Linked DNA regions of Diceros bicornis minor. The protein of the gene in region 1 purifies or fractionates together with the protein of each later gene. This does not show direct contact. Links are inferred from orthologs where the notes say so. Each region holds a gene or a part of one and is shown in the gene's direction. Other genes may lie near its edges.

What was found.
Region 2: the proteins of SLC39A12 (region 1) and ABHD12 purify together in Homo sapiens (co-immunoprecipitation; 3 studies listed by BioGRID and IntAct, counting the BioPlex papers as one, with this or other methods). This does not show direct contact. The link is inferred for Diceros bicornis minor from reciprocal best matches to the Homo sapiens genes SLC39A12 and ABHD12.
Region 3: the proteins of SLC39A12 (region 1) and NAT14 purify together in Homo sapiens (co-immunoprecipitation; 3 studies listed by BioGRID and IntAct, counting the BioPlex papers as one, with this or other methods). This does not show direct contact. The link is inferred for Diceros bicornis minor from reciprocal best matches to the Homo sapiens genes SLC39A12 and NAT14.

The regions. Positions count from the first base shown.
Region 1 is NC_080775.1:18,065,214-18,072,719, forward strand, and holds the start of SLC39A12 (zinc transporter ZIP12), read left to right. Parts: upstream 1-4,228; coding exon 4,229-4,486; intron 4,487-7,506. UniProt on the Homo sapiens protein: Uniporter that promotes Zn(2+) import from the extracellular space to the cytoplasm across the cell membrane. The transport activity is temperature dependent. May play a role in neurulation and neurite extension.
Region 2 is NC_080758.1:51,379,598-51,387,938, reverse strand, and holds the start of ABHD12 (lysophosphatidylserine lipase ABHD12), read left to right. Parts: upstream 1-4,963; 5' UTR 4,964-5,060; coding exon 5,061-5,251; intron 5,252-8,341. Other genes in the region: GINS1 (DNA replication complex GINS protein PSF1), read right to left, coding at 130-204.
Region 3 is NC_080773.1:33,455,525-33,462,928, forward strand, and holds NAT14 (probable N-acetyltransferase 14), read left to right. Parts: upstream 1-4,146; 5' UTR 4,147-4,297; intron 4,298-4,702; 5' UTR 4,703-4,748; coding exon 4,749-4,820; intron 4,821-5,385; coding exon 5,386-5,934; 3' UTR 5,935-6,540; downstream 6,541-7,404. UniProt on the Homo sapiens protein: Probable acetyltransferase. May act as a transcription factor that regulates the expression of coproporphyrinogen oxidase by binding to a promoter regulatory element.

The DNA.
Region 1 (7,506 bases):
TGACAGGGCTGTGGGGAGAATGCAAAAATCAAAATGTAGCAGATTGTTTCCTTTATGGTGGGCTCTTGTCTGTTTCCTTTGTATATCCCCCATGCTGCATTGTAAAAAGGAGCTTGGACTTACAAATAAAGGCATGGGATCACATCACCATAGACAGCTGCTTGGTAGTATAAGCGCCAACTTTAATGTGGCCAGGGCTGGGTTTCTGGTGGCACCTACTAGCTGTGTGACCCTGGGTATTTGTGAAGTGTACACTGAGAAGTTCATTAGGTTCAACTGATATTACGGGAGAAAATATATGTGAAGTTGCTCAGTACATTGCCTAGGCATAAAAGACACTTGAAAAATGTTAATAAACGTTAACTATTATTTAGAGAGGTTAGTGTCTTTGAAAAAAAGAGAAGATAGTGTAAAAGCACACGTGGGGATTAGCTAGGTCCAGAGGTAGCTCAGAGTTGTGGGACCTCATATTACTTCCAGAGATGGCCCCACAGGGGTAGGCTGGGCACTGAGGAAGAGGAGCACACAGCCCCGCCACCAGCTCAGAGCCTCCTTTCCTCAGGACGTTTGCTGGAAAGTTGTTGTAATACACACATAAATCTGTGATGATTACAGAAGTGAATGATGATCCTTAGAGTTGTACAATGCCCAACCTGCAAAACTGTACTCGGCAGCCCTGGACTATACCCAGAAGATGGCTCTACTCTTGTTTCAGGCTCTTCTTAGGTTGCTGCCATCTTGTATTTTATATTACCTGGTGGGACCCTTTCATTCCTTCTGGGTCAAGGCAAAGTACACATGTAAATACATTATCCTGACATGAGGAAGAAGTTTGAAAGTCAGGCCACATCAAAAGGCAAAGAATCAAAATGAAGGAAAGACTGATTAATCAGTACCCCCTCGTCCCTCCCACCTCCGGTCCATTACATCTTCCTGTGATAGCACAAACACGTGTCTGTATGTCAGGAGATACTGCCTCAGACGAACCTGGTCCCAAACGGGGGTTGAACGCCTTGTGAATGGCTTCTTCACACAGTTGGTTAGTGAACTTATGAAACTCATTACCGCTAGAGGTTGGTTTGGATTGCACATATATCCGTGTTTAAGAAAGGTTGATTTCAGGCTTATTGGGGAAGCGGGCAGGCTGGGTACAAAGAGTTTAAGCCTCAACCCAGAGTCGAGGGAAGAAGGTGACACGGCCACGTCCAGCCAAGTGTTTTGGTCCCTTATTAAGCTCCCCTTGCTCTCCTGTGACCTGCCTGCCAGCCCTCCGCTGCTTTGGCTGCCTTAGAGCCTCCATCCGGGGCTTCTCCTCGCCCCTCCTTGTCCCTGCATCACCGTGAGACAGAAACAGGACCCTGGTTGGTGGCTGAATTGTTAAGTATGACTGTGAGGCTGGAGCAAGCCTTGGGGACAAATGGAGCGGGCTCAGGCATGTGACAATGGGAGGAATTCATTTAGCTGGCAGGCTTGTGGCTTGTGGCGAGGATGCTGGAGGTGTTGGGAGCAGCTGAGACTAGAGATTGGCATTGGAGAATTCCTGCAGGAGATAACTCGCTGGGGCCCTATCAGGAGGGAATCTTTAGCCACAGGGAATCTGAGACTAGGAAATACGGGACTCCCAGGCTGGACATCGGCATAGGGCAATCACGATAAAGGTCGCAAAGTCCCAGCAGGGGCACTGTCCTGGGAGCACTGGTCAGAACAAATCAGGATCCAGTTCTGCGGCAACCGGGCAGGTTATACAGTGGGACCGCGGCAGGGAGGGCAGATTTCAGGATTTGCTAAATGGAGCTGGGCCAGGAAACAAGGGCTTACTTCCAAAAACAAGGCAAAGCCGTGGTACCTAAAGGTAGCAGGTGAGAGTAGGACTGGATAATTCGCTCACTAGGTTTTGGACTATTTTTCTTTAGTAACCTCCTAACCAGGCCCCTGAGCCTGCAAATGATGCTCAGGTGGGGCCCACTGTGGGGATGGTAATAGGCGATGAGCAGGAGCCTGCAGGGAGCTTTGCCCAGTGCCCCTCTGGTCCTGAGCCTGCTCCCTCCTCCTTCTCTGCCTCCACTGGATCCACAGTGGGAAGGTCCTGACTCCTCGCTCCTCAGCTAGACTGATGATCCGGGACTCTAACAACAGTTAATCTCAAGCTAGTGCACAAGAGATACACACCAAGTCCCTTCCCTTGATGGTTTAGATAAATCCAAGTGCTCCATGATGTGTAATTCAAGAGAAGCCTGGCATTTTCTGGAACCATGGGTCTTCCATATTTCTATCAGTGCTACCAGCATTCTCTTAGGACTATCTCACCCTGTTGTTCCCAATTTTCGTATCCAGTTAGAGATTGAGGAGACTAATTATTCCAACTTCTTTATCATGTCCTCTGCCTCCTCACCTGCCGCCTACACAATTGAACTCAGAAGTGTCTACCCATCCCCAGTGTTTTTCGGATTCTTTGTGTTTCAACATCCTATGTGCCATTTACATGTAAATTACTCTGCCAATTTTGAAATCTTGGGTTTTAACTTCTCTTACTTTCTATGAAATTTACGACTTTGTTCTTTCAATCATTTATTCACTAATAGTTTATTAAGAGCCCAGTTTCCCAGAGCCGGAAGGGCCTTATATAATCACTCCTACCACAGACTTCGGGATCATATTATCTACAGCTAATTAAAGTTCCCTGCTGCATCTACTTACTTCCCAGGTAAGAACTTTATTCCTCCAACAAACACTTTTATTCTTGTTTGAAAACATCTATTTATGAATTTACAAATGCCTTAAATGTTTTAAACCTCCACGCCTTGTAAAATTAATACAGTTTTAAAGAGCCTCTGCACTCAACAAATCCTTGGTTTGAGTCTAGATAAAACAGTTATCACGGAATCAACTGGAAAGAAAGAAATCTTGATCTAACACTAAAACACTTCCATTTTACAAGGTGAAATCCTTTGACCTAGATCTGTCCCTTAAAAGGCAAGTGATTGTAAGAAATTCTCAGATTGTTTTAGAATGCTAAGAAAATTGGTAAATATTGATATAAAAAGTTGAGTTCATTAGCCACATTTATTTGATTTTCCTGAAAATCTGCCAGACAGAAAGTTCTCACTTTTATCCACCTTCATTGTTGCCTTCAGAGCAGCTTTCTCCATAGCAACTGGAAAGTTCTCTGGGCTGAAATAATCCTCTCCAGCTCCCAGCGCACAGTCAAGGAGTTTTAAAAACAGAGGACTTTGTAACCACGAAATTCTCTCCGAGATTTAAAAGGCCACAGAGCTCCAGATAAATAATCATTTGTCTTTCTTCTGAAGGTAAGCACTGGGTTTAGAAATGTTTGTATCATCCTCTGTCATTTTTTAAATGCTAACATAAGAATCTTACACTCTTTTATTTTAACTGTAAAATAATCCCGGTATCTTTGTTACTGCCCCACAGTCATTCTTTGTTCATCTTTGGGCCAAGATCTGACATGAGATGCTGTTAACATTTTGCATTCCTTAAGCAATTGGTTGAAGAGATTAATTTTTTTTCCAGAAAGCTGATTGGCTCTAAAGTCAACCCCTCACCCCTTTATTGGCCCCTGACTGGGTGGATTTATCATGGCTTGGGCGGTCTTGGGATTCTTATTTTTCTAAGATGGTTCACGCTTTTAATAAACTAAAAAGTAAAAAATCACTCGTGTTTCCTGGACATTACTATTTTCTTCTAATACCCTTCCTTGTCCAAAACCTTCTAACTCAACATGATGTTGGTAATTTATGAAAATTTATTTTTTCTTTACTTTTCTTTACTTACATCAGTGATGAGGACCACGAACAACTGGGAGTTCTACTTTATGATGGGGTAAAATGAGGGTCCTATGACTTGTACCACCTGTAGGATAAACAGAGAAACTTATTCTCCTAATTTTTGACTCATTGTTTAATTCAGAGAGAGGCAACATAACAAACTTCTTGGCTATTCTACAGTTTGAGTCCACAACCATGATAGTTTCCTGCCGTTTGGGGTTATAAATGACCTACAGACCCCCTGTTGTTCAGAAACAGCTTGTCACTGTAAATCAGCTTAGCTGCCCAATTAATGAATCCTTTCAAACTTGTTGCAGGCGCAATAATTAAAGCCTTTATTTTTCCCCTTTACTGCAGACATTCCTCCGGTTACCAGTTTACACCGTGAACACTAGCCCACCCACCTCCATCCAAGACAGACTCAAGATAAAGGAGGAGTGGAAATGTGCTTCTGGACCAAGCTTCCGGTATTCTGGGTGCCATTGTTCCTTCTACTCAGCCTTGTTCCCTCTACTGAGACAAAAAAGCCCTCAGCCCAGGATAGCAGCACCTGGAGTCCTGGCCAACTGATACAAGTACTACGAGTTCTCTCTGCTGGTGACCCCGCACCCCTGAACCACTCAAGAGGCCTCATCCAAACACTGTTGGAGAAAACTGGGTGCCCACGGAGGACCAACGGCATGCGAAGAGATTGCAGTCTGGTTAGTGCAATAGAATGGGATCGGGTACCAGGGCATGTTCAACAGAAGCAATGGATTCTCTAGCCATTTGCTTCAGTAAAGCAAACCCAAATGCAAATCTTCCAGTACCTAAGTGGACAGTGCACTGTGGCATAATAACTCCCATATTTGGGATACAAGTTATTCAGCGTTCTGCATGCAGATTTTAAAGACAGGGAAAATTTTTTTATTAAAATGGTAATGTTTATGGAAGCCTTTCTGCAACTCTTCTGCATGTTTAGAGGTATTTATTTGTGTGAACTGTTAGTTCTCTCTTCTTTCTGGTTTATTAATCCTTTTAATGAACTTGCAGTAAACTTGCACATTGTTGGTTAGATAGATGCTATTTGTTTTCTGTAGCATAGTCATAGTGATCTGATATTTGTCTAACGTTGAATTTTCAAGTACTTTCTCCTGGGCGTCGATTGGTGTTTTGTAATATTTTGCATGGTGGGTAGTTAACGAACGAATTGGATAATCATCTTAAAAATGAGGAATCTGAGCTGGGGAAGGAAAATGACGCAGGTGGAGCTGAAATGAGACCCACGCTCCTGAGGCCCAATTCCCAGCCTCTTCCTAGTCTATGAAGTGACTCTCAAACTCTGACTGCACCTCAGCATCACGTGGGCGGGTTTCACAAAATACCCACATTGGGCCTTTCTCCTCCAGAGGCTGAGATTTAACTTGCTTGAGATGGAATTTTTAAAAATCTCTGCAGGCCACTTGAATGTAAAAATCAGCATTTAGTGTAAAATCAGAAGGTCTCCATCAGGGTGGTGGGTGGCAGGAGCAGCACACGGGATAAGAACTCACGTCTTAAAATGACGGCAAACAAAAACCCTCTTCACCATCCCTTTCCTGACTAAGGCGATTTTTCAGAATGAACTCACAAATAAATAAATAAATGAAGACATATATAAATAAATAAATAGGAGAAGCAAATAACTTTCTCCAAAAATAAATTTTGGCAGACTTTCTTAATCATGCTTAGTTCTAGGGGGAACATTCCCCGGCCAAGTGTTTTGTTGTTTTTCATGACAGAAGGGTCTTGCTAATAGAGAGAATTTTTCTCTGCTCTGCGCAAACAATAAATAATTCAGTAATTAGAAAAATTCCCCAGGGTTCCCAGAGAAAACATGTGTTATAATAGGCGACTCATCTGTGATGACATTAATTTATATATATAGCAACATAAGACTTCCCACTGGAAATAACTAGGAGTCCTATCTTATTAATGTCCTCTGAGAATTTGCTGCAGGGAAATGTTCTCCTCTAATGACATGGAGTGCCTTATTAAGGCTGGTTAAATATTAGTTTAGCTAAGAAAAATGTAAACATGTGAAATCATTCTCCATTTTTGGGGAGGGAGGGGTTGTTTTACACTTTTTGTTTTCTGTAACGTTATCAAGAGTTTGGCCAATTTAGCTTCCGTTTGAATTAGTTCCATTCCTAGGAAGTGAAACAGTGTCTTTAACAGCTTTGCCTTCTTGCTGATGCTGTTTCTCTTTCTCTGTGAAAGAGACTGAGGTAAAAAAGGGCAAATCTCAGCCTCACCTGCTCAGAGGGTTACAATTCCCCTGAATCACCCACAAGCAAGAAGCCAATGAAATCTCTTCATGTCATTCATGAAAAACCAGGGAGAAACAGTGTCCTATCAATTTCACAAACACCCACGTTCTGGTACAAACCGCAGGGCTTCAGCAGGTTGCTGAATCTTTTTTGTCTTTTTAGGGACTTTGTCCACTGAGAGGCATGGTTCATATTAGAAATCCTGTGGTAAAAAGAGGGCAAAGGGGTGAGTTCATATCCCTAAATGTCTGAAAAAAGAGACAAGTGTGTATCTTGAATTTGTGGGGAGGAAAAAAGTTCCCAATTTTATTTCAGATCTAGGTAAAAACTGATTTTTTTAAAAAAAATCAATCTGAGGTATTTGAGAACTGTATGCATTTAAAAATAAATCCACTCAAGCTGCAGCCTTTGAAAATGGATAGTCTTGCCTGATCGTGGCTTTTTCTTTTTTAATGAGAAGGGTTAAAATGGAGTTTTAATGAATTTAATGAAGGATTAAGTAACTCTAAAAGAATAACTTCCACTTCAGTAATGATGAAAACCACGACCCTACATGGATTCCAGGCCTGGTGAGGGAAAAGAACCTGGTGTCTGGAGTTAGCCAGCAATGGGCCCGAATCCTTGTTCTGGCACCTTCTATCTGTTAGGACATGCTGAACCTCAACTTCCTCATCTGTAAGATGGAGGTGATGATTCCCTCCTCAGGGAGCAATTCATGAGGCCCCATGATCATATCTGAATGGACATGGGCACTCAAGCTCTTTCCATCCCCTTATATTACCTGCACCTTCCGGAATGTCCAGTCCCTCCCTTTCCAGGGACACTGGAGCCAGTGCTACTGAGAAATGAGACATTCCTCCCCCTCCTGCCCATCCCCCAGCCCCCTCACAACTGTCTCAGGGGCTTGGGGTTTTTAACCTAGGTCTTCAGGCCATTCTCAGACACATTCGAGGAAGAGAACCACTGCTTTAAGGTCCTGCATTTAATGCCCCCCCCACCACCACCATTTGTCATAACTCTCATGGGATAAAGCATGCAAAGCACCAAGCTTTATCTTAACTTGTTTAGCTGACAAGTTTATCTTAACTCTTCTCAGTCAAGACATTTCTTTTTTGTCAGTCAGAAATGCCTGTACTAAAGCTAGTACAGACCCACAAAAAACCGGTGCCTGTCATCTGCTGACATCCTTCCAGATCTTTGCTTGGGACGAAAGGGAAGAAATACAACTTGTCTCTTACATTTTACAATCAATTGTTAGCACTCCCGCCACCCCACCAAAAAAAAGACCTTATAAAAACCTAAGAACTTAAAAGAGGGCAGTGGATTTATCCATAACCCCAAATCAAATTCTAAACATCTTTTGGTCTAAAACGCCCCAAGTTTATCCTGCAGGGCTGACAACTGCCTTATTGATGTAGAAGAAGAAAAATTTC
Region 2 (8,341 bases), on another chromosome or scaffold:
GAAAGTAAACCCTCCGGGTAAGGCGCAAGGAAGAACCGCGGGAAGCCGCCCCGCCCCCGGTCCCGCCCCCGGGGCTTCCAGGCCCCGCCAGCCAGCACGCCCATCTTTGTCTGCCCCTGCCCCCCTCACGTTGAAGGCGGGCAGCTGCCCTTCGGGTGTGCGATGCAGCTCGCGGACCAGCTCCATGGCCTTTTCGCAGAACATGGCGGACGCGCCCCGGTCCCGCGGCCTTGTGAGCCGCCCACTCTCACGACAAACGGTCCCCGGGCTCTCGGCCGCCGCTCTCGGCTCCTATCTTTCCCGGTCCCACAGCTCCTGATCCTCGCTTCCCCTCCGCGTTTTGGCGCCAAGCCTGGCCAGCCAATAGGAACGCACTGATGGGCGTCGCGGCCTACGGCGGCGGCAAAGGGACATTTGACTCCACTGCCCAGCTGCTTCAAGACGGGCAGAGTCCTGGGTGGAGGTCCTTTGCTGGGGATGGCCCCCGCGTGTGGGGAGAGCCGGCGGGCCTGGGTCCGCAGGCTGAGTAGACTTCTTCGAGTTCCCAGGAGGGTAACCAGGCAACTCTGCGCGCACCACGGCTCGGGAGAAATGCAGGCCCCGCAACTTCCTTTTTCCATTTGAGTCATTCCTTTTCGTTTAGGTTCCAAGGGTTGCGCACTTTGAGGTTCAGAAGGCAGGCCCGGGAACTTGGTGTGCATTCACGTTATGACGCAGCGTTTCGTTCGTTAGTTTTGCAGTGTGAGTTTTTCGTTTGATAGATAGTAATGGGAAACCAAGTTTTATTGGGTATTTCTTGTGTGGCAGGGACTGGGACTTCTATTTCATTTAATTCTCAGGATTAACCCTAAGGTGGTCATTAAGTCTCTTGGAACGGATTAGGAAACAAGTTATGGGCCGCCCCGTGGCTTAGCGGTTAAGTGCGCGCGCTCTGTCGCTGATGGCCTGGGTTCAGATCCTGGGCGCTCACCAACGCACCGCTTCTCCGGCCATGCTGAGGCCGCGTCCCACATACAGCAACTAGAAGGATGTGCAGCTGTGACATACAACTGTCTACTGGGGCTTTGGGGGAAATAAATAAATAAATAAATAGAAGTCACTTCTTAAAAAAAAAAAAAAGGGAAACAAGTTAGATAATTTGCCCGAGGTCTCACAGCTCATCAAGTGACAGACCCTGTATTTAAGCTTTCAACTCCACAGTACCACCTTTGATTTTAAAAGAAGTCATTTAAAAACATTTGTAAAATAGCTCCAGTCACAAGGTCTATGAAGGGGGAAAAATGCCCCAGATTAACACGCATTCACATAGCCATATACTTGCCTAAATGATTATGGAAATTTTCATAACTATATAGAATCGAAGGTGGGAATTACTGCTATAGAAACAATTCGTTTTATTTGGATATTTTTTAAAAAGCAATATTACTTGGATTCATTCTAGCTAACCCTAGACACTGTGTCCCTCTTCTGCAAATATAGATACAGTAGATGTGTGATCTGAGACGTGAGCATGGGAATGGCCTACAATGCTTCAATCATCCTTAAGTTGAGTGACATTTCATTTTCAGCTCTACGTTAAGAGATAATTTAGCTAAGTGTTTTCATTAAAGATACAATTCTCTAGTGGACTGTGCTACAGTATTGTGATCCAAAACCTTTTTAATTTTGCCATAAACCTTTTTAATTTCAGTCCCCAGGCCTGGGATTCACTTCCTTACCTATCCAATGAGGACAACAGTACCCACTTCTAAGGGGTTGTGATGATTCATTATTCCTGCAGCAAATATTTTCTGAAGTGTCTATTACATCCTGGGCATTGTTCCAGACACTTAAGATGAAGCAGTGAACACAATCCTTACTCTCAGAATCCACGTGCCAGTTTGGGAAAAGCAATACATAGATGCCGATATACTAATGGCAAATATTGGTAAAAAGTGCTACGAAGGAGAATAAGCCAAGGAGGGTGAACAGAGTACTGGTGAAGCCTGAGAGTTTTGAGTTAGTGTTCAGAGAAGGCACAGACCTGAAGTGGGGAGGTAGTGAGCCACGTGGATATGTGGCCACAGCATGGGCAGAGAATTCCAAGCAGCAGGAATGGAAGTGCAGAGGCTGGGAGGAGGGGTGTGGGGGGACGTGTGCAAGCATGGGAGGCAGTGACACTGGAGCAAGGTGAGCATGGGAGAGGCTGGTGGCTGAGACCAGAGCGAGGGCTGGAGGCCATGTAAGGTACAGCCTGTGGGCCTTTACATAAGCTTTTGGTTTTATTTTCAGTGAGATGGGGAGTCAATGAAGTGTTTTGAGCAAACAAGTGACAGGATTGGACCTAGGTTTTTAAAAAGACCTTTGTGGCCGCTGCGTTAAGTACAGGTGAGGCAAAGGAGAAGGCAGGAGACCACTTAGGCTATTAAAATAATCCAAGTGAGAGATGATGGCATCTTGGCCCAGTGTGTGGATGGTGGAGGTGGTAAGAAGTGCTTGGATCCTGGGGATAGATTTTTAAATGAGAACTGACAAAGCTTGGTGATAGATGCTGTGGCATAAGAAGGGAGGAATCAAGGGTGACCCCAGGGTTTGGCCTGAGGAACTCCAAGGGTGGAGTTGCCACTCCTCACGTGGGGAAAGTTGTGGATGGAGCTGGGGGTGGGAGAAGAGTTGGGAGCTCAGCTTTGAACACAATATGGTTAGGCGCCTGTAGGATATCAGAGTAGATGAGTAGACCATTGGATAGAGGAGCCCAGGGTTCAAGGAAGAGGTGTGGACTATTAGAGATACAAATGTGACTGTCCCCAGTGACAGGTGGTATTTAAAGCCTGGATAAGATCACTCAGAAAGTGAGTGTAGACTACGAGTTGAGGACTGTATAGGCAGGGCCTAGTGCCAGCAAGCAACACTCAATACCCTTTACATTTCTCTCTTCTCTCCAGCCCTCCCTTCCTTGCTTTTTTGTTTCTCTATTAAAAAGGATTTTGGGGGCCAGCCCCTTAGAGTAGCAGTTAAGTTCACACACCCTGCTTCCGCGGCCCGGGGTTTCCTGGTCTGGATCCTGGGTGCGGACCTCGGCACCACTCATCAAGCCATGCTGAGGCAGTGTCCCACGTGGACGAGCTACAACTCTACAACTATGCTACACAACTATGCACTGGGGCTTTAGGGAGAAAAAAGAAAAAGAGGAAGATTGGCGACAGATGTTAGCCCAGGGACAATCTTCCAAAAAAAAGAGGATTTTGTGAGTGATAGGTTCAAAATTTTTTTACACTTTAGTTCCTGGATTCCCAATCTCTGGTATGTACTACTACAATGCTTTATAAAGAATTCACCATTTAAATTCCACAAGTGTAGTTGGAGATATCCACACAAATATGAACACTGGTTGTGATATCTGGTATACAATCAATGAAATTCTTCTGCCATTTCAAAGTATCATCACTGTGGGAGATCAAAATTGGCCACCCTGAAATATATCTCTTTACCTTGATTATTTTCTCTGATGGACATTTGACCTCCCCCAAACTGCCTAAAGGAATTTAACTCTGGGTGTAGACAGACTGGCAGGGTTCTTGCTAAACCCATTCTTAACAAAGCTCTGTTTACCAAATATTTACATTTGTAACGGTATCTCCCTCTGTATAGTGGGAAGAGGGGGGATGACTTTATCTGTGAAAACTCTTATCAGGACAGAAGACAACGACTTAAATCTACATACTCGATCACTATAATTCCTGTCTCTCCGGCCACATTCTTTATAGGTGGCCCTGGAAAGCATTGTCTGACGAACACTTACATTTCCCTGTCCATGTAAATTGTCTTATTGCCCTCTGAAATCCCAAAACACCACCTGCCCCAACATCCTCCTTTGTCTTTAGCTGAAGATGGTATTTAAGATGAGAATCTCTGCCACTGTGTTGAGAAATTCAGTTTCCCTGGTTTCTCCCATGTATACATGTTATTAAACTTGGTATTATTTTCTCCTGCTAACCTGTCTTGTTAATTATTTGGCCAGCCAGAAGAACCTTAAGGGAAAGGGTGGAGGGGGATTCTCCCTCTTCCCCAACAACACAAAGCTAATACAAGGAGCTATTGAATTTCTAAAGGCATTTCTAATTGATCTTAAGTTATCACTGGCCAATAGTTTTCAACTGATATAATTGTTGAAATTACAAAAGTTACTTTCGAATAAGTAAGCAAAATCTCTTGGTGGCAGATGGTTTGTAAAAAATAATGGCCAAAGCTATAAAACTAAACATGTGAAACTGCTCTTTTATCTTTTCTGTTTGTAGGATGGGTTGAATTAGTTCTTCATTTGGGCTTCACAAGTGGAAATTTATCTTTGAAATGGATTGTCCCCCTTCTGCTAGTTCTAATTGTTTTACAAAAATCTAAAACCTAATACAGGTTTTTAAAAAGTAACAGCTGTTTTCACATGTCGTCCCAAAAGCTAAAAATAAGTATCTATACATTTGTGTTTCAACAAACCAAAAAGTACCTGAAAATGCATTTTTTTAAGTAAAGTCCTTGTGGGAAAACAGTTATAAGTCATTAGAATTGTGACTTGTTACCTTTTTCTTTTTGTCCTATAAACCTTTGTAAGAACATTTCCAGGGGTTTACCCAGATTGGGTTTTGAGTGTTGCGCGGGGGTCAGAAAGCCTGGGGTGGAAGCGGAGGGAGCCAGCTTTCCGCGGGGTTCTGGCTCGCTGGGCGCCCGTTTCTGGCAGGCATTCCGCCTGCCCCTCAGCACGCCGACAGAGGCGGCCCCCGCCGGGCGATGACGCTCCCTGCGGCTTCGTCCGCCCTTCTCCAAGATGCCGGTCGCGCCAGGGATGCTGGGTGCGCTTCCGCAGCACCGGGAGGAGGCAGGGCTGGCGGCAGCCCGGCGCTGATTGGCCGGTGCGGCCGAGGCCCCGGCGCCAGTCCGTAGCCGGCGCCGCGACCTGGGCTGGGATGTGAGGGGCGGTGGGCGCCGGGTGGCGGCAGCTCCTCTGGGCGGCGGCGACGACTGCGGCGAGGCCGGGCGGGCGAGGCCTGCGGGCGCCGTAGGCGGCCGGCCGTGTAGGCCGCGGGATGAGGAAGCGGCTCGAGCCGGTCGCCCTGGAGCATGAGCGCTGCGCCGCTTCGGGCTCGTCCTCCTCCGGCTCGGCCGCCGCGGCGCTGGACGCCGACTGCCGCCTGAAGCAGAACCTGCGCCTGGCGGGCAAGGGGCCGGCCGAGCCGCGCTGCGCCGCCGACGCGGGCATGAAGCGGGCGCTGGGCAGGTAGGCGCGGCGCAGGGCGGGGCCCCTACCTAGCCCGCAGGTGCGGCCCGTGCGCGCCCCGGAGCCCCCCCCCGTCAGTTCCCCGCCGCAGGAGTGCCCCTACCTACCTTCCAGCCCCTCACCGTCCTCTTCCGGCCTCCGCGGACGCCCTCCCTTCCTCTGGCCCGCCAGTGCGGCCTGGGGGCAGCCCCCGACCCCCCATCCCGCCCCTCGGTACCTGCCCGCGCCGCACTCCCCTGGTGTTCCTCCGCTCCCCACCCGCCCCCTCAGCGCCTGGGATCCAGCCCCCGCCCCTGCCTTCCCCCGGGTGAGCCAGTGGGGACGCTTTCAGCGACGAGCTGGACGAGCGTCTCTCCCGGGGGTTTGGAGCGGCAGGGAAAGGACGACTCCGCTTGCGGGTGTCGGGGAGGCCCCTGGACGCCCGGCGCGGCACGGAAGATGTGGGAGGCGGAGGGGCCGGCGCCAGACCTTGGGTGTTCTGGGGCCAGCTCGGATCTCCTCTTTTGCGAGGGACTCGCGAGGAGGCTCACCGGTACCTTTTTCTCACTTTGGTAATTCTTGGTCTCGGATAACTAGTTGTCAGAAGTGGCATTGGGGGGGGGAGTCCCTGTGGTGTAGCAGTTAAGTTCCTGCGCTCTGCTTTGGCGGCCTGGGGTTCCTGGGTTCAGATCCTGGGCGCGGACCTACACACCGCTCGTCAAGCCACGCTGTGTCGTCCCACATGCAAAGTAGAGGAAGATTGGCACAGATGTTAGTTCAGGGCCACTCTTCCTCACCAAAAACAAAAAACACAAAGAAGTGGCATTCTCTGCTCAGAACTGCCCGGCCTTTGGGGGAAGGTTAAGTAAGTGGTCTGCAGTGACAAGGGAAAGGAAGAAGTCACCACATCCTCAGCTGCTGGAGGAAAACCTGTCGTTCGCTGTGCGGGTGGCTGGTGGTGCTTGAAATTTGTGCACAGGAGATGTCTCCTTGGGAATCTCCGTAAAGTCCGGAAGTCATCTGGTTGTTTGCCTTCTCCTTTTGGGTAGGAGATGAATGCGTTTATGTAAAGCTGACTTCAACCTTGAGACAGGAGCATATTTAATAGGGACAAATCGTCCTCCTCATATGCTGGTTTCTTTATCCGGCTATTTGTAGAACATCATTCATGGCAATTTTGAAGTCTTAGTGTTTCAAGGTGTTTGAAGAACTTAGCGTGTAATGTTCTCAGGTATTGTGGCAGAGTCATTTCTTTTGGAGTCACCTGGAATGCCCTTAATTGACACTGGCCACTTAAGTGTAGAATATTTATCCAAGTAGCTCCTTCAAAATTTCAACTTCATGGCTTAAAAGATCATGAAGTTAAACTGTAGACTCCTCTAAGTCAGTGGTTTCCAGTCCTGCCAGAGGGGCAGGGACTAACAATATTTTTGTTTTGTGTATAATTATCTAGCAACTGGTCAATGTCTTTTGTGAAATGAATCTGTTCTCTCTTCTGTGGAAAAGTTTGTGTTAAAAAGTCATGATTGGCTTTAATGCACTTTTATTAACAGGCTTTGTGTAACATTTAGATAAATTGGGAAATTCTTCCTTTGAAGAAATCAAGTTGTGATGCACAGTAGTGTTTGGGGAAGCAATGCTGGCCTGGCACCTTCCTTGAAAATGTACTGTAATAAAAGGATCTGATTAATTTTTATTTTTGTATCAGGGGACAAAGAGAGACACTCAAGTGGTGCTTATATATCCTTTGGATAAACAAAAAGTTGTTAGGGGAATAAAAAGAAAAGCAGAGAGCGGAAAGGCCAAATCTGTGTGTGACCCAGTGGCTTCCTTCCCCGTTGCCTGGAATGCTCCCCTGGACATTCTCCTACTTTGTTCTTTCCTTCCGCCAGGTCTCTGCTCAACTGTCACCCACCTCAGAGAAACCTTCCTAGCCCAGCCCATCCAGAATAGTCTTTGAGCCATTTGCAACCCCCTTAATTCTGTTTACTTGTTTCCTCATCACACTTATCCCTCACCTGACCTTGTAATTGCCTCCGTACTTGACTTGCTTTATGGGTTGTCTCCTCCCTAGCAAGAATGGAAGCCCCATAAGAGCAGGGTCATTGTTTTCTCCACCTCTCTATCTCCAGTGTCTGACACATTGTAGGTAGGAGAAAATACTTGTTGAATGACTATCTAGAATAAATTCCAAAAGTGGAATTGCTGGGCCAGCGGTTGTGTGTGTATGACTGTGAAAGGTATAGCCTTGAGTGCCCTCCAATTGGTGTTGATTCCTCCTCCCTCCAGCAGGGTCAGGTGCCTCCCTGCCCAATGCTGAGTATTACCAGATATTTTGATCTTTTTCTATTTGATTGCTGAAAATGACATCTGATTTGTAGTTTTAATTTGCATTTCTTAATTGTTAGGTGGCAATTTTCGTGTCTTTTTGTAAGTCTATTATATACATTTGGGATTATTTAAGTCTTTCATCACCCTCCTTTGGGTTCTCCTGCACATTTCTTATAACTTTCTATTATGTACATTTTCAAATATGCAAAAGTGGAGAAAACAATGTAATGAATGTCCATGTATCCATCACTTCATTTCAACAGTTTTCCATGTTTTGCCAATCTTGAATCACCTATTCCTTCTCCCCTTTTTTGTAGGGTGGGAGACTAGAATATGTTAAAACAAATGATTTTATCCATAAATACTTCACAATATATGTTGAACAAATGAGGACTTTTTGAAATACATATACTTTCAATGCTATTACCACATTTATCAAAATTAACAATTTATTATCTATTATTAATTTAATATTATCTAATATCCAGTGTATATACACATTTCCCCAGTTTCTCAGAAATGTGTTTTTTAAGTTGGTTTGTTTTAAAATCCTGTACAGGGCCGGCCCCGTGGCTTAGCGGTTCAGTGCGTGCGCTCCGCTGCTGGCAGCCCGGGTTCGGATCCCGGGTGTGCACCGACGCACCACTTCTCCGGCCATGATGAGGCTGCGTCCCACATACAGCAACTAGAAGGATGTGCAACTATGACATACAACTACCTACTGGGGTTTTGGGGGAAAAAAAAAAAATAAAAAAAATAAAAAAAATGCTGTACATTTCT
Region 3 (7,404 bases), on another chromosome or scaffold:
CCACTGGAAGCCCTAGTCCTGAGGGAGGTTCCCTGCAGCGTGGGTGGGCGTTGAGGGGCCCCTGACTCCTAAGGGGCCGGCGTCTGGGGGTGGGGTTGAGACTATGCGGTGTGTGGGTGGAGGGGGGAGCGCCTGCCCTCCCCTGACCTGGAATCCCCCCAGGTGTGATGGTCGGCTCCCACGCGGACATGGCGCCGGCCGCGACCGCCGAGGGCACCGCGGAGAAGCCGGGCCCCGCAGCCCCCGCGCCGGCGGCCCAGTACGAGTGCGGGGAGTGCGGCAAGTCGTTCCGGTGGTCATCGCGGCTCTTGCACCACCAGCGCACGCACACGGGCGAGCGGCCCTACAAGTGCCCCGACTGTCCCAAGGCCTTCAAGGGCTCGTCTGCGCTGCTCTACCACCAGCGGGGCCACACCGGGGAGCGGCCCTACCAGTGCCCCGACTGCCCCAAGGCCTTCAAGCGCTCGTCGCTGCTGCAGATCCACCGCAGCGTGCACACGGGCCTGCGGGCCTTCACCTGCGGCCAGTGCGGCCTGGCCTTCAAGTGGTCCTCGCACTACCAGTACCACCTGCGGCAGCACTCGGGCGAGCGGCCCTACCCCTGCCCCGACTGCCCCAAGGCCTTCAAGAACTCGTCCAGCCTGCGGCGCCACCGGCACGTGCACACTGGCGAGCGGCCCTACACCTGCGGCGTGTGCGGCAAGAGCTTCACGCAGAGCACCAACCTGCGGCAGCACCAGCGCGTGCACACGGGCGAGCGGCCCTTCCGCTGCCCGCTCTGCCCCAAGACCTTCACGCACTCGTCCAACCTGCTGCTGCACCAGCGCACCCACGGCACCGCCGCCCCCCGCCGCCCCTGCGCCGCGCGAGCCGGGCGCCAAGGCCCTGGGCTCGGCCGCCTTCCTGCCGCGGCACCTCCCGGCCCCCAGCCCGCCCGCGCCCCCGCCGCCCGCGCCCCCGCCCGTGGTGCCCGAGCTCTTCCTGGCTGCCGCCGAGACCACGGTGGAGCTGGTGTACCGCTGCGACGGCTGCGAGCTGGGCTTCGGCAGCGAGGAGCTGCTCCTGGAGCACCAGCCCTGCCCGGGGCCCGAGGTGGCGCCCGGGCCCCAGGACGGGCCCCCTGAGCCGCCCAAGGCTGCCCCGGCCCCGCCGCCCTCGCTGTCCCCGCCGTCCCCGCTGCCGCAGCCCCCTCCTGCCGCCGCCGCCCCGGGCTTCGCCTGCCTCCCCTGCGGGAAGTCCTTCCGCACGGTGGCCGGCCTCTCGCGCCACCAGCACAGCCACGGGGCGGCCGGCGGGCAGGCCTTCCGCTGCGGCAGCTGCGACGGCGCCTTCCCGCAGCTGGCCAGCCTCCTGGCGCACCAGCAGTGCCACGTGGAGGAGGCGGCGGCCGGGCGCCCGCCCCCGCAGGCCGAGGCCGCCGAGGTCACCTGTCCCCAGGAGCCGCTGGCCTCCGCCGCCCCCGCCCCGCCGCCGCCCGCGCCCGCCCCGGCCTCTGCGGAGCGGCCCTACAAGTGCGCCGAGTGCGGCAAGGCCTTCAAGGGCTCGTCGGGGCTGCGCTACCACCTGCGGGACCACACGGGCGAGCGGCCCTACCAGTGCGGCGAGTGCGGCAAGGCCTTCAAGCGCTCGTCGCTGCTGGCCATCCACCAGCGCGTGCACACGGGCCTGCGGGCCTTCACCTGCGGCCAGTGCGGCCTCACCTTCAAGTGGTCCTCGCACTACCAGTACCACCTGCGGCTGCACTCGGGCGAGCGGCCCTACGCCTGCGGCGAGTGCGGCAAGGCCTTCCGCAACACGTCGTGCCTGCGGCGCCACCGGCACGTGCACACGGGCGAGCGGCCCCACGCCTGTGGCGTGTGCGGCAAGAGCTTCGCGCAGACCTCCAACCTGCGGCAGCACCAGCGCGTGCACACGGGCGAGCGGCCCTTCCGCTGCCCGCTCTGCCCCAAGACCTTCACGCACTCGTCCAACCTGCTGCTGCACCAGCGCACCCACTCGGCCGAGCGCCCCTTTGCCTGCCCCATCTGCGGCCGCAGCTTCGTCATGGCCGCGTACCTGCAGCGGCACCTGAGGACGCACGCCCCGGCCAGCGCGGCTGCCGGCCCCGCAGCCCCCGCCGCCGCCGGCCCCCAGCCCCCTGCCCCGCTGGCTGCCGCTCCAGCCCCCTCTGCCACCCAAGATGTCCACGTCCTCCCCCACCTCCAGGCCACGCTCTCCCTCGAGGTGGCAGGGGGCCCGGCCCAGGCCCCGCCCCCAGGCCCGGCAGCCCCCAACTCCCAGACGTTCCTCCTGGTGCAGACCGCCCAAGGCCTCCAGCTCATCCCCAGCAGCGTGCAGCCCCCTACGCCCCCGCCCCCACCCGCACCCCCCAAGCTTATTCTGCTGCCCTCCTCCAGTACTGGTGGTGGGGGCAGCGGCGCAAGACAGGGCCCCCGGGCAGTGGGGAAAGCTGGACCGGGGACTGGAGTAGTCTGGCTGCCCGGCCCTGGGGGGCTAGGGGTACAGGGAGGGGGCAACACCGGGGCCAGCGGGGGAGGGCAGAGCCTCATCGTTCTGCAGAATGTGGGGGCTGGGGAGGCAGGGCCACAGGAAATGAGTGGGGTCCAGCTCCAGCCCCTCCGGCCAGCCCCGGAAGTGACCACTGTCCAGCTCCAGCCGGCACAGGAAGTGACCACGGTCCAGCTCCAGCCGGCACAGGAGGTGACCACAGTCCAGCTCCAGCCGGCCCAGGAAGTGACCACGGTCCAGCTCCAGCCTGTGGCGGGCCAGCTGTCCAATCCTAGTGCGGGAGCGGTGACCACTGAGGCCCCCAACCTGCTGGTGGTTCAGAGTGGAGCAGCAGAGGAACTGCTGGCGGGCCCCAGCCCCGGGGAGCCGGGTGACGGTGAGGCCAGCGCTGGCGTGGTCCAGGACGTGCTCTTTGAGACGCTGCAGACCGATGAGGGATTGCAGAGCGTCCTGGTGCTGAGCGGGGCCGATGGCGAGCAGACTCAGCTGTGTGTGCAGGAGGTAGAGACCCTCCCCGCGGGGCTGGCTGAGCCACCTGCCCCCGGCCCCCCGGGACAGAAACTGCTTATCATCCGCAGCGCTCCGGCCACCGAGCTGCTGGAGAACAGCAGCATTGGGGGAGGCGCCGCCACGCTGCAGCTGCTGGCCCCACCGCCACCTGGCCCAGCCTCTATCCCCGCGGGCATCCCTGCGGCGCCCACTTCCCAGATGGTACAAGTGGTCCCCGCAGGAGCTGTGCCTGGGGGCATGACCCCACAGGGCTTGCCCTCCATCCAGATTGTCCAGACTCTGCCCGCAGTCCAGCTGGTGCACACGTTTTGAGTAGAACCACTGGTACCTCTTCCCGCCCCACACGGAGACCCCGACTTTCTGTCTGCCTGGGTTGGGTTGGGGGCAGGGGTGCTGCAGGCCGGGCTTGCTAATAAAGACCAGAACCTCCTCTTCTGTGTTTTGTTTTGGTGGGGAGGGGCGCGGAGGGAAATGTCATGGCCATAACCACCGGTTGGGAGCTTGGAGTCTTATCTCTTGCTTCCTGGCTCGCAGGTGACTTGCTTTGCGTCTTGGCGTCAGCCACTTCTATGTGGGGCTCGGTTTATTCTTAAAAAAGGGATGCAGTGGTCAGTATAGTGGGGAGACGTTGGAATCCAGAATCCGGATTCAGCCACTTGTTCGCTGTAACTCACCCCACCCCTCCTCTCATCTGAAAGATAGGTGGACGGGAATGCTTATCTGAAGGTCACTGAGAGCCCAGGTGGGTTGGCGTGGAGGTTCCTGGGGTGGGGGAGTTTGGGAGCTAGTGGGCTCGGGATGCTGGCGCGGCCTCTCCCACGAAGGCCCCGGAGCCAATGAGAATTGATCTGCTCGCATCGCCGCCCCCTCTCAGCGCTCCGGTTGCTTAGCAACCAGGGAACGTCAGGCTGCGAGCTTGAGCTCACCCTCCGCGAGCCGGGTGAGTACCGCTCCCCGCCCCACCCCGCCGGGTCCCACCGCCCCCATCCCCTCCCTGCCGGCCCCTCCCCCGCCAGCGTCTGCTCCCGTCTTCCCAGAGGCCCCCTTCTCCATGGCTCCTTCTCCCCTGCCCCACCCCCGCCGCTCCCTGCCCGGTCCCTCCCAGTCCACGCCCGGACTCCCCCGAGCCCCCGCCGGGAGCTTGGCAACAGTTGCTAAGGCCGAGTGCAGGCGCCGCCCCGCCCCCCTCCGTGCGCGGTGTGACGTCACTTCCGCCGGCGACCCCTTCCCGACCCTGCAGCCCCCACGCCTTGTCGAAGGATCGAAGCGACCTGCAGAGGTGCTTGCGTGTCCTTGCTCCTGCGACTGTGGGGGGGAAGGGGCGCCGGGCGCCGGGGTTGGGGAGCGCGGCCCATTCCCCGGCTGTGGGGGGAGTTTCGCTGACCACCCCCTTCCCCGGGGCAGCCCCGGATCCTGGGCGGGGGCCCCGGGTTGCAAGGTGTTGGCGTTCACAGGGCGCTTAGGGGTAGATCGCTGAACACCACGGGGCGGGCGGGAGGCGGGACCCCTGGAGACTTGAGAAAGGTCGCTGGGTGGAGGGAGGCCTATGCTGCCTCGGACCTTGCTTGGGGACCCCAAGCGTCTGCAGTGTCCTGATCTGGGACGTGCTGCTGCTGGTCCCCACCCCTGGGGCGCTTTGGGGACGAGAGGTGCCCTGCTGATGCTCACTGCTTGCTTTCACCAGGTGCACGCCTGCTCCCTTCTGGGGGAGCGGGAGCCTGGGGGCTGCCATGGCCCCCAGCCACCTGTCTGTGCGGGAGATGAGGGAAGATGAGAAACCGCTGGTGCTGGAGATGCTGAAGGTGAGAGCCGGCAGGGGCACCATGAGCCTGGGGGGCAGGGAGGGGGCACCTGGGGACACCATGAGCCTGTGGGGGGGGAGGGGGCATCTGGGGGCACCGTGAGCCTGGGGGGGGGAGGGGGCATCTGGGGGCACCATGAGCCTGTGGGGGGGGGGAGGGGGCACCTGGGGGCACCATGAGCCTGGGGGTGGCAGGGAGGGGGCACCTGGGGGCACCGTGAGCCTGGGGGGCCAGGGACCCCAGTGTGAGTGGCTTCGGTCACGTGCCTGAGCCAGCCTGAGCCAGCCGGGACCCCTGGGGAGCCATCATTTCCTCCTAAGCCGCGTCCTGGCACGGCTCCTCCTTTCTCTAGCGCCCTCTCTCACCCCTGGGGGTCAGGCGGGGTGTTAACAGCTGGAGGGCTGTGGAGCTGACCACGCATCAACTTCCCTTCTCCTTCGGGAGCGCCCACCCTGGATCCCTCCCTGGCAGGGCCCGTTCTCTCTCCCAGTCCCTGGTGCCCACGGGGGCCCTATCGTGACGGAGGGCCAAGCCTCCCCGCCCTGACTACCTGTCTTGCCCACAGGCTGGTGTGAAGGACACCGAGAACCGCGTGGCCCTGCATGCCCTGACGCGGCCACCAGCCCTGCTCCTCCTGGCGGCGGCCAGCAGTGGCCTGCGCTTCGTCCTGGCCTCCTTTGCCCTGGCCCTCCTCCTGCCTGTGTTCCTGGCTGTGGCGGCTGTGAAGCTGGGCCTGCGGGCCCGGTGGGGCTCGCTGCCTCCACCAGGCGGTCTGGGGGGGCCCTGGGTGGCAGTGCGCGGCTCGGGGGACGTGTGCGGGGTCCTGGCCCTGGCCCCGGGCTCCAGCGCCGGGGATGGGGCCCGGGTCACCCGCCTCTCCGTTTCCCGCTGGCACCGGCGCCGAGGCGTGGGCAGGCGCCTGCTGGCCTTTGCCGAATCCCGGGCTCGAGCCTGGGCGGGGGGCATGGGGGAGCCCCGGGCCCGGCTCGTGGTTCCGGTGGCCGTGGCAGCTTGGGGCGTGGCGGGGATGCTGGAGGGCTGTGGGTACCAGGCCGACGGGAGCTGGGGCTGCATGGGCTACACGCTGGTGAGGGAGTTCAGCAAGGACCTGTGACTCCAGACCCAGACAGGGAGGGAGGAACACCAACACTTAGGGAGTACCTACTGTGTGCAGGCGCATTCATGCCCTCCCTCCGTGAATCCCCAGCCCACCCAGGGCCCAGAAACAGGTCTGCAGAAGGCAAGAGACCCCACCGCAGCCTGATGGCTGTCTGTAGTGTTTGAACTTCTCAGAGAGGTCAATCTGTCTAATCCCCTGCCTCAGATTCTGTCTGCACTGAGAAATCTCGGTCTGTCTGTCTGCAAAGTCTGCGCTGTTTGTGCTATGGGCCTGGGAGAGGGATGTGGGGTGGAGAGGAGGCCGAGCACAGCTGTCCCCCCAAGGGTTAGGACTTGGGGTGGGGACGTGGAGGATAGGGACAAGGCCTCTTGGGAATGGGCTGGGGTTTGATTCCTGTGTTTGGAGGGGATGAGCTAGCTGAGCCTTTGCAGGGGAGGGTTGTCTGCCTAGGGAGAGCCCCCGGGGAGGAGGGGATGAGCTCAGGGCTGCCTGGCCCGCTGGCCCTTTCCGGGGAAGGTGAGAGCCGTGAGAGCCGAGAGGGCCGGCCAGGCCCATCTGGGTTTTTACACTCGTTTGTTAATAAAGCCTGGAACTGCTGTGCACCGGTCTCCCTCTCTCTGATGCCTTTTCCAGTCCACCGCAGAACCCCCCTTCTGTCTGGCTCCTTGTTCCCCGAGTTGACATTAATTGTCGGTGGGGGTGCTGGACGGGGAGAAGGGAGGCGATGAGCTCACGGCAGGCGCCCCGCTCCCTGCCAGCCCTCTGACTCACGCTCCCCATTACTGAATTTTTTCCGCCTCACAGCTGCCTGGTGCAGAGAGTGACTGTGTGTGTGTGTGTAGTTCCCCTTCCCCCACCTAAGCCTCAATCCTTGGTCCTCCCAACTCCCTGGGGGACACATAAGTTCAACCACTGCTCCCTCAGATGGGGGTCTGGGGACTGCATGCAAATCCACTAGGGAGAATGGAGAGAGGGGTTTCTCAGTCTCAAGCCCCAATCTGGGAAGTCCTTCTTGGTGTCTGGCTGCAAGCTCTCTTGCTGCACCGTTAGCCCGAGATGTGTCAGGTCTCCAACCCCAGCAGCTGATTTGAATCCACGCTGGATCCGCTCTACCTTGGTCCCACCACGCTTCCCTGCCTGGACAAGACAGGAAGCAGATGGGGGGGCACCCAGCCCTTGCTGTCTCCTCACTTGCACCCGTGTCCGGTCATTTCTCTGTAGCCTGCCGTCCCTTGAGCATCTCTAAGCGCAGCGGCGCGCCTGGCCGGCTCCCGTGTGGGTGGTTGCAGTTGGACACCCTCCCTCCTGCCCGCCACCCCCCTCCTCCCCAGGCCTCAGCCGCCGGCCAGCCCCCTCCCCGCCCCCTCCTCTCCCCTGCTGCCTCCTCAGCAGCCTCTCTCCCTTCTGGCACAGCGTCCAGCCCCTGCCTGCTCCTCCCCGGGTCCAGGGCGCTTCAGGAAGGCG